Saccharomyces cerevisiae S288C: one gene and its partners. The main gene of each other region encodes a partner of the protein of the gene in region 2 in a complex. Each region holds a gene or a part of one and is shown on either strand. Other genes may lie near its edges. The genes, in order: SSN3, SSN8 and SRB8. A codon is read from its position in the direction of its gene.

Region 1 (3,622 bases), on a different chromosome or scaffold from region 2:
GCATACATCTGCGGAGAACAGGGTTTTAGCTCGACCTAAAATCAACCCATTATTTTACCTGAATGTTGCAGACTTGCATTCTTAGTGCCTCTAAAGCGAAAAATTGAAACTGTATGCCGATTTAAATACTATAAAGATAAAAAAAAGTTTAATGAATATAATAGTGACAGTGCTGTGGAATGAAAAATTCCAAATATATATAAAAATAGAAGCCTATCTTCTGTTTTTCTTTCGAGATGGCTCATCTGATGCATTGTTTCCTGACACCGCAGCAGCGGCTGCTGCTGCCGCGGCCAGAATTCTACGGTTAACACCAAGCCCACCTAACGCATTTGCAGCGGCACCTGCGGTGATTCCTGAAGCTTGTGTATTGTTTTTCGTTCTTGATCCAAGATTCATGATGTCATTATCGTTCGTGTGAATTCTTCTTGCCGGGTATTTGTAAGTTAGACCTTCAAATACATTTTCACTAACAGGAATATCACTTTCTGTGAAGTACTTATGTTCCAACGCATTAAATGCATCTATTCTTTTAATTGGATCATAATTTAACAAGTGGTAAAGTAAGCTTAAAGCATGCTTGTCCCTTCCTCCCGCGGAATGATACCATGTAGCAAGGTTATCCCTATACTTTGGAAACTTCGTAATTTGATCATATTCTGGATACTTCTCCAAATAAGGCCAAATTTTTTGATCGGGAGTGCCAAGAACTTCCAAAATTCTCTGTAGTTGATTCACTTGAAATGGAACAGTCTTTTTAGAGTCTAGTTTAGCTTCTTCACCTTTAAATATGGGCTGTAATCCTATCAGTTCTGCAAAAATGCAGCCAACGGACCATAAATCAACCGCAGGGGTATAGTGCCGTGCTCCCAATAGCAACTCAGGTGCACGGTACCATATAGTGACAACCACTTTATCCCCAGTATAGAGGGTTTGCAGCATATTATGAAATTTTCTGGCCAAACCTAAATCACCAATTTTAACACATCCATCTATGGTCACCATTATATTTGCGGGTTTCAAATCTCGATGAAGCACCCAATTTTGATGAAGATACGATACGCCGTCTAAAAGCTGCCACATAATAGACCGAACCATTCTTGGTGGTATCATCCTTTTTTCGGGATGGGAATGGAAGTGGATAATTTGTAGCAGATCATGCTCCGCATATTCGTATACCATATGGACACATTTCCTTTCCAAAAAAATTTCCACTAATGTGGTTAAATGCTTGTTGTGCAATTCTCGACATAATGCCATTTCTCTACAGGCACTCTGAGATATTCCCGTATAATGCAATTGTTCGACGCCATCCTTCTCTGTCTTGAACTTTTTAATGGCATAAAATACCGTCAGCGGTTTTTTAATGAGGGTTTGTTTTTGGGAATTATAGTGCGGGGATACATCTTCCCTCGTAGTTCGTATTCTTCCGGGGGTCACTCCTTCATCCTTTAACAAGTTTCTTCTTAATGCGTTTGTATTTGCCTGCATGTCCATTGAAGAGCTTGATTTTGGTTGCGTGCTGTCAAACTGCGGAATTTTCGCATTGGTACCATTCAGACTAGAACCATTAGCGGAATTGGTACCGGAGTTGATTTGTCTTTTCGCTTTGTAAACTTTACCATATGTGCCCGCAGCAATGTAGCCAATAACTTCGTACTTTTCTAAGACAGATACCCGCATTCTATCTTTTCTTGCCCTATAAGGTCCAATAGTAAAAACATCATTATTGGCCATTAGCATCGGGGCTTTTCCATGCACACTTCCGATTGTGTTTTTCTTTCCAACGAACGATTGAGCTTGCTGTTGTCCTTGTACCTGCATAGGCCTTTGGTACATTGGCTGATAGGAGTTTTGTGCTCTATCCTTGCCATTATACATTTCTCTCTCCTCCCGTCAAAACTAGGCGGCCTTAATTCAATTGGGAAGCAAAATTACTAACTTCAGTATACCCTTCCGCCTTTTTTCTTTCCTATAAACCTTTCTTGTATCCTTTTTGTCAGCAGTGATTGTGGGATAACTTTCAAGTATTGAAGCGGGAAAATGAAACGCAACTTAAGCCACACCACGTAATTCTTGAAGACTTTTGATGTATGATATTTATTTCACTGTTAAAAAAAGCTATAATTTCCTCTAATCAAAACTCTCTAAAACGAAATCAAAAATATTCGTAACACATATATAACGAAGTACAATATATTGGGAATCTATAAATCATATGCCGAGTGCGCAACTTCAACTGAAAACAATAATCCGTCTCTGGGCCAGAAAAAAAAAAGGAAAAAAAAGCTTTATTTCTTAATAAGGTGCTTTAATTTTTGAAAGGGAAGAAGCAACCATTTCCCAAAATATGGTGCTCCCCAGATACTAATGAAAATGCGTACCGGATATAGTAATTTTACTGTAACGTAGGCTACTGTGCCAGATAAAATCAACTTGTTTTTGTTGAGGCATTCCTGATATCTCTTACCAACAAATTTCTCCATAGCTGTATGACAGCTATCCATTAGGCCATTTAAGAAGTTTGGGAGCTTAAAATCATCAGAAAGATCGAGGTTATAAAGTAACCACCATAGTAGAAACAGTGGTAGTATGGCAGTTACCTCATGCAAGATGAAGAATGATGTAAGTGTTGGAACCGTGCCGGCCTCACTGAGGCGGTCGAAATAGTGTGAAAATTTAGGATTCTTGTTTAACCTTGTTAAAAGTCGTGACTTGGAAAATATTTTACGTAGTCTATCCTCCCTTCTTTTCACTGGATCTAAATTTCCCGATATGAATCTAATTTGGGTTGATCCGCCGGGCCTGGTGTTCATAAACGTGGTCAATTGCGTTGGCCTTTTAAGCATGAGCTCCAACGGTCCAGAGCCCATCTGCAGTTGACAGGGCCTGAAGAAAAGATTCATGACAGTCATGTTCCTGGTGAGGGTGCCTTGGGTGTAACACTTATCCTTACACGGTCTCTCAAAAGCAATATTTTTACATTTCTCTTCTTTGCTTCCTGTTCGTATAACGCGCTGAGAGCTGGTAAGAACAATAGGCCGAGGCCCTGCATCAAAATGTCAGTAGGGGACCTGTTAGGTACCCACTAATAAGTACAAGAGGGTTTTTATTTTCTAAGAGCCAATAATTGGCATTCTTTATATACAGGAAAGGTACATGTCATTCAAGACATGAGATGATCCACAGCTTCTTTACATCTGTCACACAATTTATCCTCTTCGGCTGAGTTGGCCTTCCAACATCTGGGACAGTTGTGCCTTTTGCTTCGTTCAACCAATATTTGAACGTTTATTCCGCTTCCCAATTCAATAGTTGGTAGACTGTTATTATTATCGTCCATTTGCAATATATCAACAGCAGATGATTGCAATATGTCGCAAAGCTCGTCAGAACTGAATGGGAGGTGATGCTTGGTGAAAATGGTAACGTGACTATGTGTTGTTTTGGTGACACCTTCTTCTAGACTTAACCTCTTGAATTCCTCCTGGAACTGTTTTAGAATTTTTAGTTCAAAGTTTTCAAAGGAGGTGACGATTTCCGTATTTGAGTCCAAAAACGGCCATTTTCCACGCATCGGATTAATGTCTATATGTTCTTGTCCTTGTAACCATCCTTCTGG
Region 2 (3,494 bases):
TATGCAAAAGTATTATCAAACACTTTAGAAAAGGAAGAAAATGTTTTTGAAATAAGCCAACATGTTCTAGTATTTTAACTTGGGGGGCGTTTAATATTTCTGTTAGTTTATCAATTTGGCCTGCCATAAGAATTTCTGACAAAGGTTTTGTGGTTGCACATACTCTGAAAAATGGGGAAGTTTGAGCCACGGTTCACCCATCTTGAATGTGTGTTATAAGTGGGCTACTGCAGTAGACCAAATTGAAAGGATTTTTTGAACACTGGAGAAAAAAACACTAGGTTCGATTCTTTAAATTTAATACATGTCAAGGTCCGACCCAGCTTTCCACCTCAATATCAAAGCAATTTTTAATTATGCATTATAACGGTACCTATTCTCAATATGTCTTGACGTTCCAATATCATGTTAAACAAAGGTAGTCAAGGACGAAACATTTCCAAAACGGATCATCACCACCATAATGATTGAATTTACAGGCTTAACGGTTTTTAAATTTATTCTTCGCATGATTAAATTGCAGATGCTGGTCTAAGATACAAAGTATGTAGCAGAAACTTTATCCATTGTTCGTGGTACTTGTCCCAATGATCGTATAATGTAATTTGCTCTTGAATCGTATCCATAACCTCCTCAAGATCTACAAGAGATTCTGCCATAAAACGATTAAAAGCTATTTGAACAGGAGAACTAGAATTTTTAGGATCTCTGATGGCTTCAGAAGCCGCAGATGCTAACGATGATCCTTTGGTTGGTTTCCCATGAATGGAAATCGTAATGAATAAACATGCAACAGCGATAATATGAGGAGGGTAAAGCAAATGAACATCATTTATATAACTGTCGTTGATTAAGGACCAACAGTTTTGTAGATCATCTGACGATAGTGTTATTTGAAATGGCGGTTGCTTTAAGACTTGAACAATTTGCTTTAAGGATTGATAAGGGTGGTGGACAATTAAGTAACTTTCCAATTCTTCTAGTAAGTAGAACTCAAACTCAGTAACTTTAGTAGGGTCAGGAGGAATAAATTCGGGCCATAAGGTACGGGCTTCACTTACCAAAGTTCTGATATATTGCGGGCATTCTTCAACTTTGCATGCTAAATATACACACGTAGTAACCAGCATATATAGGTTTATTTCTCTAACTGAAGCCTTTATTAAAAACCTTGATAGATAAATATGTGCTGTAGCCAGTGCATACTGTCTTATATTTAGTCTCCTTCCAAGCTTCATTATCAGGAAATAGCAGTAGATCCTTAGATTATAATCTTTATCATAGTGTAAGTCTCGGTGAGTTATTGGTATATTCTTTGTGATGGATTGTTCGATGCCGTTTTGCTTCGAATCCATTACAATATTCAAACCTTGAGGAAACAGCTGGCACTCCAATAGCCATAACTTCTGCCTCTCTTTAGCCAATGATGCCTTGGTATATTGCCAATGATGCCTTTGTGTAGATGTCCAGAAGCTCCCCGACATGTCTAACTTTTGAGATTCAGATGCCTTATCGCTCTTCAACTAAAGTTTGAGAGGGCATTTTTTGTTCGAACAATATGAGTGCTAACAAGGTTGCTACCACATCAATGAACTCTACTCCTGTATGAACCCTAATTTTCCTTCATGAAAAATGAATTTTCGATGTTTTTCCGTGGATTTTATATTTTTTCAAATATATAAAGGAGTAAGAAAATAACTTTGTTTATCCTATGTTGCGGTAAAGAACTAAATAGTGGTCTTCACCTGTTTTCTAATTTCTTCTCGTTTAAAGTTCTTCAATCCATGACCAAAGAATCGTCACAAATCGAAGCTTACAAAATGGAGTAAAATTTTTTTTACTCAGTAATATGCTTTGGGTTGAAAGTCTCCCACCAATTCGTATGCGGAAAACGTAATGAGATTTAAAAATTTTAAATTGTTTAAATCAACTCATTAAGGAGGATGCCCTTGGGTATTCTGCTTCTTGACCTGGTACCTCTATTGCAGGGTACTGGTGTTTTCTTCGGTACTGGATTCCGTTTGTATGGAATCTAAACCATAGTTATGACGATTGCTCTTTCCCGTGCTGGATCGAGTAACCCAATGGAGCTTACTATTCTTGGTCCATGGATTCACCCCTTTTTATTTTTTTAACAGTTTGTTGTTTACACTACTTTTTAGCAGTGTAAAACTTTTGCATAGTTAAATATGCCGAACTGATCTAATAAAAAGTCTGAATAACTCAGATGAGTTATTTATTGGTAAACTTGTGTAAGAAGAAGATGGAATAGTGAATAATTCATCAAATGATGAAATACCAATGCAACAGAGTCAAGCTCTGAGTTTCAAAAAGAAACATGGACGAGATTGCTTTTTTATTACTGACCATGATTATTCATTACTTACCATTGTTCCTCATTCTATATAATTGATTGGGCACCACGTAAATTCTTGAGCCTTTTCGGTAGTATTCAATCGCAATATGGGGTAGTTTACGGAAGTGCTGTAAATGATGTCTAAAATGAACAACTATGCGTCCTTATTGTGACAATGAATTCCCTTCTTAAATCTCTATAGAGGTCGAATAGATGAATACTCAACACAAAACACTATAAAATAAAAAAAAATACAAAAGTGTTTATATTTTTGCTGTGCGTGCTAGCTCATAGCACCCTTACTTGTACGCTATCAGACGATAGAATTAAAGAGACACTTCGTCTGAATCCACTTATACTCTTTGTTTTAAAAGGTACTGCACCTTCTATGACCTTGATTTGCGTAACTTTAAATCCATATGACTAAGTATCTTCCAATCAGCTGTTAAATTGACTGATGGCCATCAAAATACATGCTAAACTAACATATGGACTGGCCCTTTCACCAACACGTGCCATTTTCCAGAAGGCCCCCAAAACCTCATGATTTTTGTAACGATCTAGGAGAGACGGCCACTGCCCATGAACATAAGAACATGAACAAATCAGTAACAATATCACTTGCAGAAGAGAACGAAAATTAAATAATGCAGACATATTCTGTCGTGGAAAAAGGACGCAACTTTGCAAAGTAAATCGATCCGGCTCTCTAGTTATTTTGCAAACGATGTTTACCGCTGTTCTGTCTTTATCCTTGAGTTGTCGTTGCTCACTCTATTGAAGATCAAAATTTCGCTCAAGAAGAGCAGTCCCACCATGCGTACACCACACTACAAAAATGAATGTTATATCGTTTTTTCATGAATTACAAATGTCTATCGAAAAGTTCATTACTAAATATAATAAGATCAGGATCATTAAGAGATAAATTCACTGTGTCAGGTTACTTCCTGATAAGCTGAAACAAGTGGGTTCTTTCCTTAAGATAATGTTCAAATTTACTAAAATCTGTAATTTCAAGAACGTCAAAATTTCTTTTAATCTTGTTGAAAAAATGTTTATCAGCTTTTCTTCTCTTCTTGTAAGCCATCAAGATTACAGGTGGGTTTATGCAGTGAGTGAGATCAAGTAGTGTTTT
Region 3 (3,622 bases), on a different chromosome or scaffold from region 2:
AATGACCAAATGGCATCTTCTATCTGGAATTCGTGCAAATCCTCATCTGTTGAATTTATTCGCAATAGTAATAATTTCGCTACCAGTTGATTAGATTCATAGTGATCAAATTGCCTTGATGGATGTATGGACCAGAGAATTAATTGAATAATTTTATGCATTGTAAGGGGATTTTGGTCAACGTAAGTGGGCCAATCGAATTCTGTAGGGTTATCGTCCAGTAGCTTGGTGAACTGAGTATCTATACAATTTAATTGAATGCATGATAGTTTTGGAAATTGTTTACAGGTGACGATAGTTAATTGAAAGTCATTTGCGTTGCTGGCAGACATTATTACGTTTCGTATAGAAGAATTATTCTTCAATGACTCGTTTCTGTAACTAATTAACTCTAATTTTTTCTTCATATCAGAATTTTGATTAGTGTCGGCGTTTGAGACTATTTCAAAAAGTAAGGGCTTGTAAATTTCCCAGTTAGATGTGGGAAATATAAACACCTCTAAAGATTGTTCTTGAAAAATTTTCAAAATTAAACTGGATAATATTTTGAGAATATTCAACTTTATCTTGTTGTTTTTCTTTATATCATTGATGATGTAGTTCTCGTCATTTATCATTGATTTGCTGCTGGAAACAATATAATATTTGTGCAATAGCATATCAGTGATTTTTGTTACCAGAAAGAAGGGCTCTTTTTGACTTGATGTTATTGTAGCCGCAACAGGAGCATTTGTATCAATTTGGCAGATGTCGTTCCAAAAAATCATCAAAATATGTAAAGATAATGGCAAAAATTCGAAGTTTTCCATCTTATTTATAAACTCTACAAGCCAATGATGAAAGATTTCCTTATTGATCAATCTTAGTGAGTAGCAATTCCCCAAAAGTTTTAAAAAATAAGAAATCTGCCTCTTCCACGTACGCAGTTGTTGAGAATCGTTATAGTGATTTGTCATATCAAAGATGAGCTTTTCCAGGATGTATACAAAGGTATCCGTCCAGTCCTTTAGCAGGTGCATGGAAATGGCATCATCTGCCCCAGCAGCATTTGACCTCTTCTTTTTGTGGTTCGATTTCCATTCGATAAAATAGCAGCACTTTATCAACCAAATCGCCCTTTTCAATGGTATAAATTTTAAATAGCACTGCTCGATGACTTGCCTTCTTTTCAAGCCGTGAGGTATAAACTTGCCAATTTTGACCAGCGAAGTGTGAGACGAACTCAATTCATGCAACCACGTTTCCTTTCTATGATCAGTAAGGGTTATTCTATTAGGCAACTGAAAACCAGGCCCGTGTAATGTCGTCGTGGAATTTGAGGGGATCTTATTAATGTGGTCTTCTCTAATCTTGATAATTTTGTCGAATTGCTGGGAAAGAATGTTGGATTGAGTGACTAATGATTCATGAACAGATGATCTCGCAGATATGGACTCGAAATTTACCATTGGTGTATGGTAAAAGCCCTTAGCCACAAAGTTTGCTAGGATTTGATCTTCTGCTGCAGTGTGCTCCCAAGGCTTGAAATCAGGGTATACTTGTTCCTGAGGTTTCGAGCTTGGCACATAGGGGTGAAGATCATCTGGGGGAGTCAGCAAGTATCGACCAGAACCGTTATTCATCGCGTTATTGGCTTACCTCTATAGACCTTTTTTTAATCTTTCGATTAGCATCAAAAATCTCAGCATTTTTTCAGAAAGGTGTTTAAAATGCGCTATAAAGAATATAAAAAGTAATATATATGTATACATACTAATAAAAGGAAGAAAAAAAATACAAAAGATGATTATCTAGGACTTGTTTCCACCCAGGGGGGTGTTTAGTTTAATTTTGTTTCGTTAGATTGTGCATTCATTAGTTTGGTTTCTCTTTGGGGGCCAGTTCTGTCAACATTGGGCCAGTTGCCCCAATTGGAAAGCCTAACCACCACGCAAGTGGCGTTGTCTGAGTGTTTAGTGGCTATTGCCTGAATAAATTTGATTGTCTCCTCTGCAACAAATTGAGGAGTCGCCTTTTTCAGTCCCCAGGAGTTCACCGTAGAGGTGATGAGGTCAACAACCTCTTGGTCTGCAAGTTTATTGGTGATGCCGTCGGTGACAAGCGCCAGGAAGCATTCATCACCATTGAAGGGCAGCTTCGACCTTTCAGATCGCGGCAAATGCAAGGTATTTCCGACAAGAAACGAGAAAATATCCGGCTCACTAGATATACCATACGGTTTCCCAGCGACATCACCAAACGATCTAGTGTTGGCGAAATTATTCAAAAACCTTGTCTCTCCAAAGGCGTCTGGGTCCAATCGAGAAGGGTCTATGCTCAAACGGTGTCGTTCCCTACTGGAATTGATGTGGTGAGTTGTTGTTAATGCGTGTGCAATCCCGTCTTGATCGCAGAGGATGATCTTAGAGTCGCCCACCTGCGTGACAATGAGTTTGAGCAATCCAGAGTGCGATATGATCCACGAGTCATCGTCTTTCCCCTCATCAATGGGTGCATTCGGATCATCATACGGATATAGAAATATGGACGACGCTGTGGACCCCGCTGCGGTGCCCAGGCCGCAGCATTGGTCGAGATCGAACCTGGCAAACCCGTAGAACAATCGCAGACGGTCTAGCTCAGTGAGCAGTGCAATTTTGTCAATAATATTCCCCATTTTATCAAAAATCATCCTGCCACCATTTTGTCCAAGGATCGCACTATCGCCCTCCTTCATCAGCAGCAGTTCTTGTTTCGAGTTGCAGTTCTTTATAAACTTGTTGTAGAATTTTTCAAACGTGGACAGCTTATGTTTCCAGTAATTTCCCTCGGGAAACCTTCTTGCATATTCCTGTACCAACTTCTTCAAGTCCTGCTTGTCCCAGGAGGGTTCAGGGAAATCCAGGCTACTGCACAATTTATCGGCTAACAACTGTGACAGTTGCGCACCTTTCTCCCCATGGCCATCGAATACAGAGCAGTTCAGGGCACTTCCATACGCATTAGGCCACGACCGCATCATTTTAATGGAGTAATTGTCCTGGTTCTCTAACCGGTTGATCCTACTCGTGGCGTGACCCACGTACCCTGGAAGACCCCGTAACAAGTCCAGCTTCAGCCCAACATTTTGCGACGGCTTGCAATACGCATAAGCATTCCCCAGCCGCATCAAATTCCCCTCTTCTGATGCTTAATTGCCCCGATTGCAGCCTGTTATTGATACTATTGTTATCACTTCCCTATTTGTTCTTCTCGCATTACACGAAATTTTTTTTTTCCTCTTCCTCTTTTTAAAGAAAGAAACAAGGTGAATGAAAAGAAACATGTACACCTTGAAGGAAGCAAAGGTTTTAACCGGAAGTAAGAGCAGCAAGAAGCACTAGCAATGTCCTTCTTTGGGTTAGAAAATAGCGGTAATGCGCGGGATGGTCCTCTGGACTTTGAAGAGAGTTACAAGGGCTATGGCGAGCACGAACTTGAGGAGAACGACTATTTGAACGACGAAACATTTGGTGATAATGTTCAGGTTGGTACCGACTTTGATTTTGGAAATCCTCACAGCAGCGGCAGCAGCGGCAACGCAATTGGTGGTAATGGCGTCGGTGCCACGGCTAGATCATATGTTGCAGCTACTGCAGAAGGA

Evidence for each region.
Region 1: the proteins of SSN8 (region 2) and SSN3 are in contact, whole or in part, in a cryo-EM structure (PDB 7KPV), measured with the Saccharomyces cerevisiae proteins. Residues at the interface, in NP_014373.3 of Saccharomyces cerevisiae: Ser2 (codon at 1,481), Gly3 (codon at 1,478), Ser8 (codon at 1,463), Thr9 (codon at 1,460), Leu31 (codon at 1,394), Arg92 (codon at 1,211), Tyr94 (codon at 1,205), Phe106 (codon at 1,169), Lys109 (codon at 1,160), Ala110 (codon at 1,157), Glu114 (codon at 1,145), Ile115 (codon at 1,142), Asn116 (codon at 1,139), Met119 (codon at 1,130), Leu127 (codon at 1,106), Lys130 (codon at 1,097), Val131 (codon at 1,094), Glu132 (codon at 1,091), Glu133 (codon at 1,088), Cys134 (codon at 1,085), Arg146 (codon at 1,049), Pro150 (codon at 1,037), Glu151 (codon at 1,034), Phe152 (codon at 1,031), Ile153 (codon at 1,028), Pro154 (codon at 1,025), Pro155 (codon at 1,022), Asp156 (codon at 1,019), Lys159 (codon at 1,010), Thr161 (codon at 1,004); in NP_015283.1 of Saccharomyces cerevisiae: Leu48 (codon at 1,740), Met49 (codon at 1,737), Ala50 (codon at 1,734), Asn51 (codon at 1,731), Asn52 (codon at 1,728), Val54 (codon at 1,722), Phe55 (codon at 1,719), Thr56 (codon at 1,716), Ile57 (codon at 1,713), Pro59 (codon at 1,707), Tyr60 (codon at 1,704), Arg61 (codon at 1,701), Arg63 (codon at 1,695), Lys64 (codon at 1,692), Asp65 (codon at 1,689), Tyr197 (codon at 1,293), Gly199 (codon at 1,287), Ile200 (codon at 1,284), Gln202 (codon at 1,278), Cys205 (codon at 1,269), Arg206 (codon at 1,266), Met208 (codon at 1,260), Ala209 (codon at 1,257), Leu210 (codon at 1,254), Arg212 (codon at 1,248), Glu213 (codon at 1,245), Glu224 (codon at 1,212), Ile225 (codon at 1,209), Leu227 (codon at 1,203), Glu228 (codon at 1,200).
Region 3: the proteins of SSN8 (region 2) and SRB8 are in contact, whole or in part, in a cryo-EM structure (PDB 7KPV), measured with the Saccharomyces cerevisiae proteins. Residues at the interface, in NP_014373.3 of Saccharomyces cerevisiae: Ser2 (codon at 1,481), Gly3 (codon at 1,478), Ser4 (codon at 1,475), Phe5 (codon at 1,472), Trp6 (codon at 1,469), Arg11 (codon at 1,454), Tyr79 (codon at 1,250), Met83 (codon at 1,238), Arg87 (codon at 1,226), Arg92 (codon at 1,211), Gln93 (codon at 1,208), Ser183 (codon at 938), Leu184 (codon at 935), Lys185 (codon at 932), Gln186 (codon at 929), Ile187 (codon at 926), Val190 (codon at 917), Pro195 (codon at 902), Phe196 (codon at 899), Ser202 (codon at 881), Leu205 (codon at 872), Gln206 (codon at 869), Asn207 (codon at 866), Trp209 (codon at 860), Ser210 (codon at 857), Leu211 (codon at 854), Asn213 (codon at 848), Asp214 (codon at 845), Pro225 (codon at 812), Pro226 (codon at 809); in NP_010004.1 of Saccharomyces cerevisiae: Asp14 (codon at 1,583), Leu16 (codon at 1,577), His17 (codon at 1,574), Pro18 (codon at 1,571), Tyr19 (codon at 1,568), Val20 (codon at 1,565), Pro21 (codon at 1,562), Ser22 (codon at 1,559), Val29 (codon at 1,538), Tyr30 (codon at 1,535), Pro31 (codon at 1,532), Asp32 (codon at 1,529), Phe33 (codon at 1,526), Lys34 (codon at 1,523), Pro35 (codon at 1,520), Tyr55 (codon at 1,460), His56 (codon at 1,457), Pro58 (codon at 1,451), Met59 (codon at 1,448), Val60 (codon at 1,445), Asn61 (codon at 1,442), Phe62 (codon at 1,439), Glu63 (codon at 1,436), Ser64 (codon at 1,433), Ile65 (codon at 1,430), Ser66 (codon at 1,427), Ala67 (codon at 1,424), Arg68 (codon at 1,421), Ser70 (codon at 1,415), Val71 (codon at 1,412).

Annotation. Positions count from the first base shown.
Region 1 is NC_001148.4:472,827-476,448, forward strand, and holds SSN3 (cyclin-dependent serine/threonine protein kinase SSN3), read right to left. Parts: upstream 1,882-3,622; coding exon 214-1,881; downstream 1-213. Other genes in the region: MRX11 (Mrx11p), read right to left, coding at 2,292-2,915; isoleucine--tRNA ligase ISM1, read right to left, coding at 3,167-3,622. UniProt on the Saccharomyces cerevisiae protein: Component of the SRB8-11 complex. The SRB8-11 complex is a regulatory module of the Mediator complex which is itself involved in regulation of basal and activated RNA polymerase II-dependent transcription.
Region 2 is NC_001146.8:583,808-587,301, forward strand, and holds SSN8 (cyclin-dependent protein serine/threonine kinase regulator SSN8), read right to left. Parts: upstream 1,485-3,494; coding exon 513-1,484; downstream 1-512. Other genes in the region: KSH1 (Ksh1p), read right to left, coding at 2,795-3,013; EFM6 (putative protein-lysine N-methyltransferase), read right to left, coding at 3,300-3,494. UniProt on the Saccharomyces cerevisiae protein: Component of the SRB8-11 complex. The SRB8-11 complex is a regulatory module of the Mediator complex which is itself involved in regulation of basal and activated RNA polymerase II-dependent transcription.
Region 3 is NC_001135.5:252,371-255,992, reverse strand, and holds the start of SRB8 (Srb8p), read right to left. Parts: upstream 1,623-3,622; coding exon 1-1,622. Other genes in the region: type 2C protein phosphatase PTC6, read right to left, coding at 1,820-3,148; deadenylation-dependent mRNA-decapping factor PAT1, read left to right, coding at 3,365-3,622.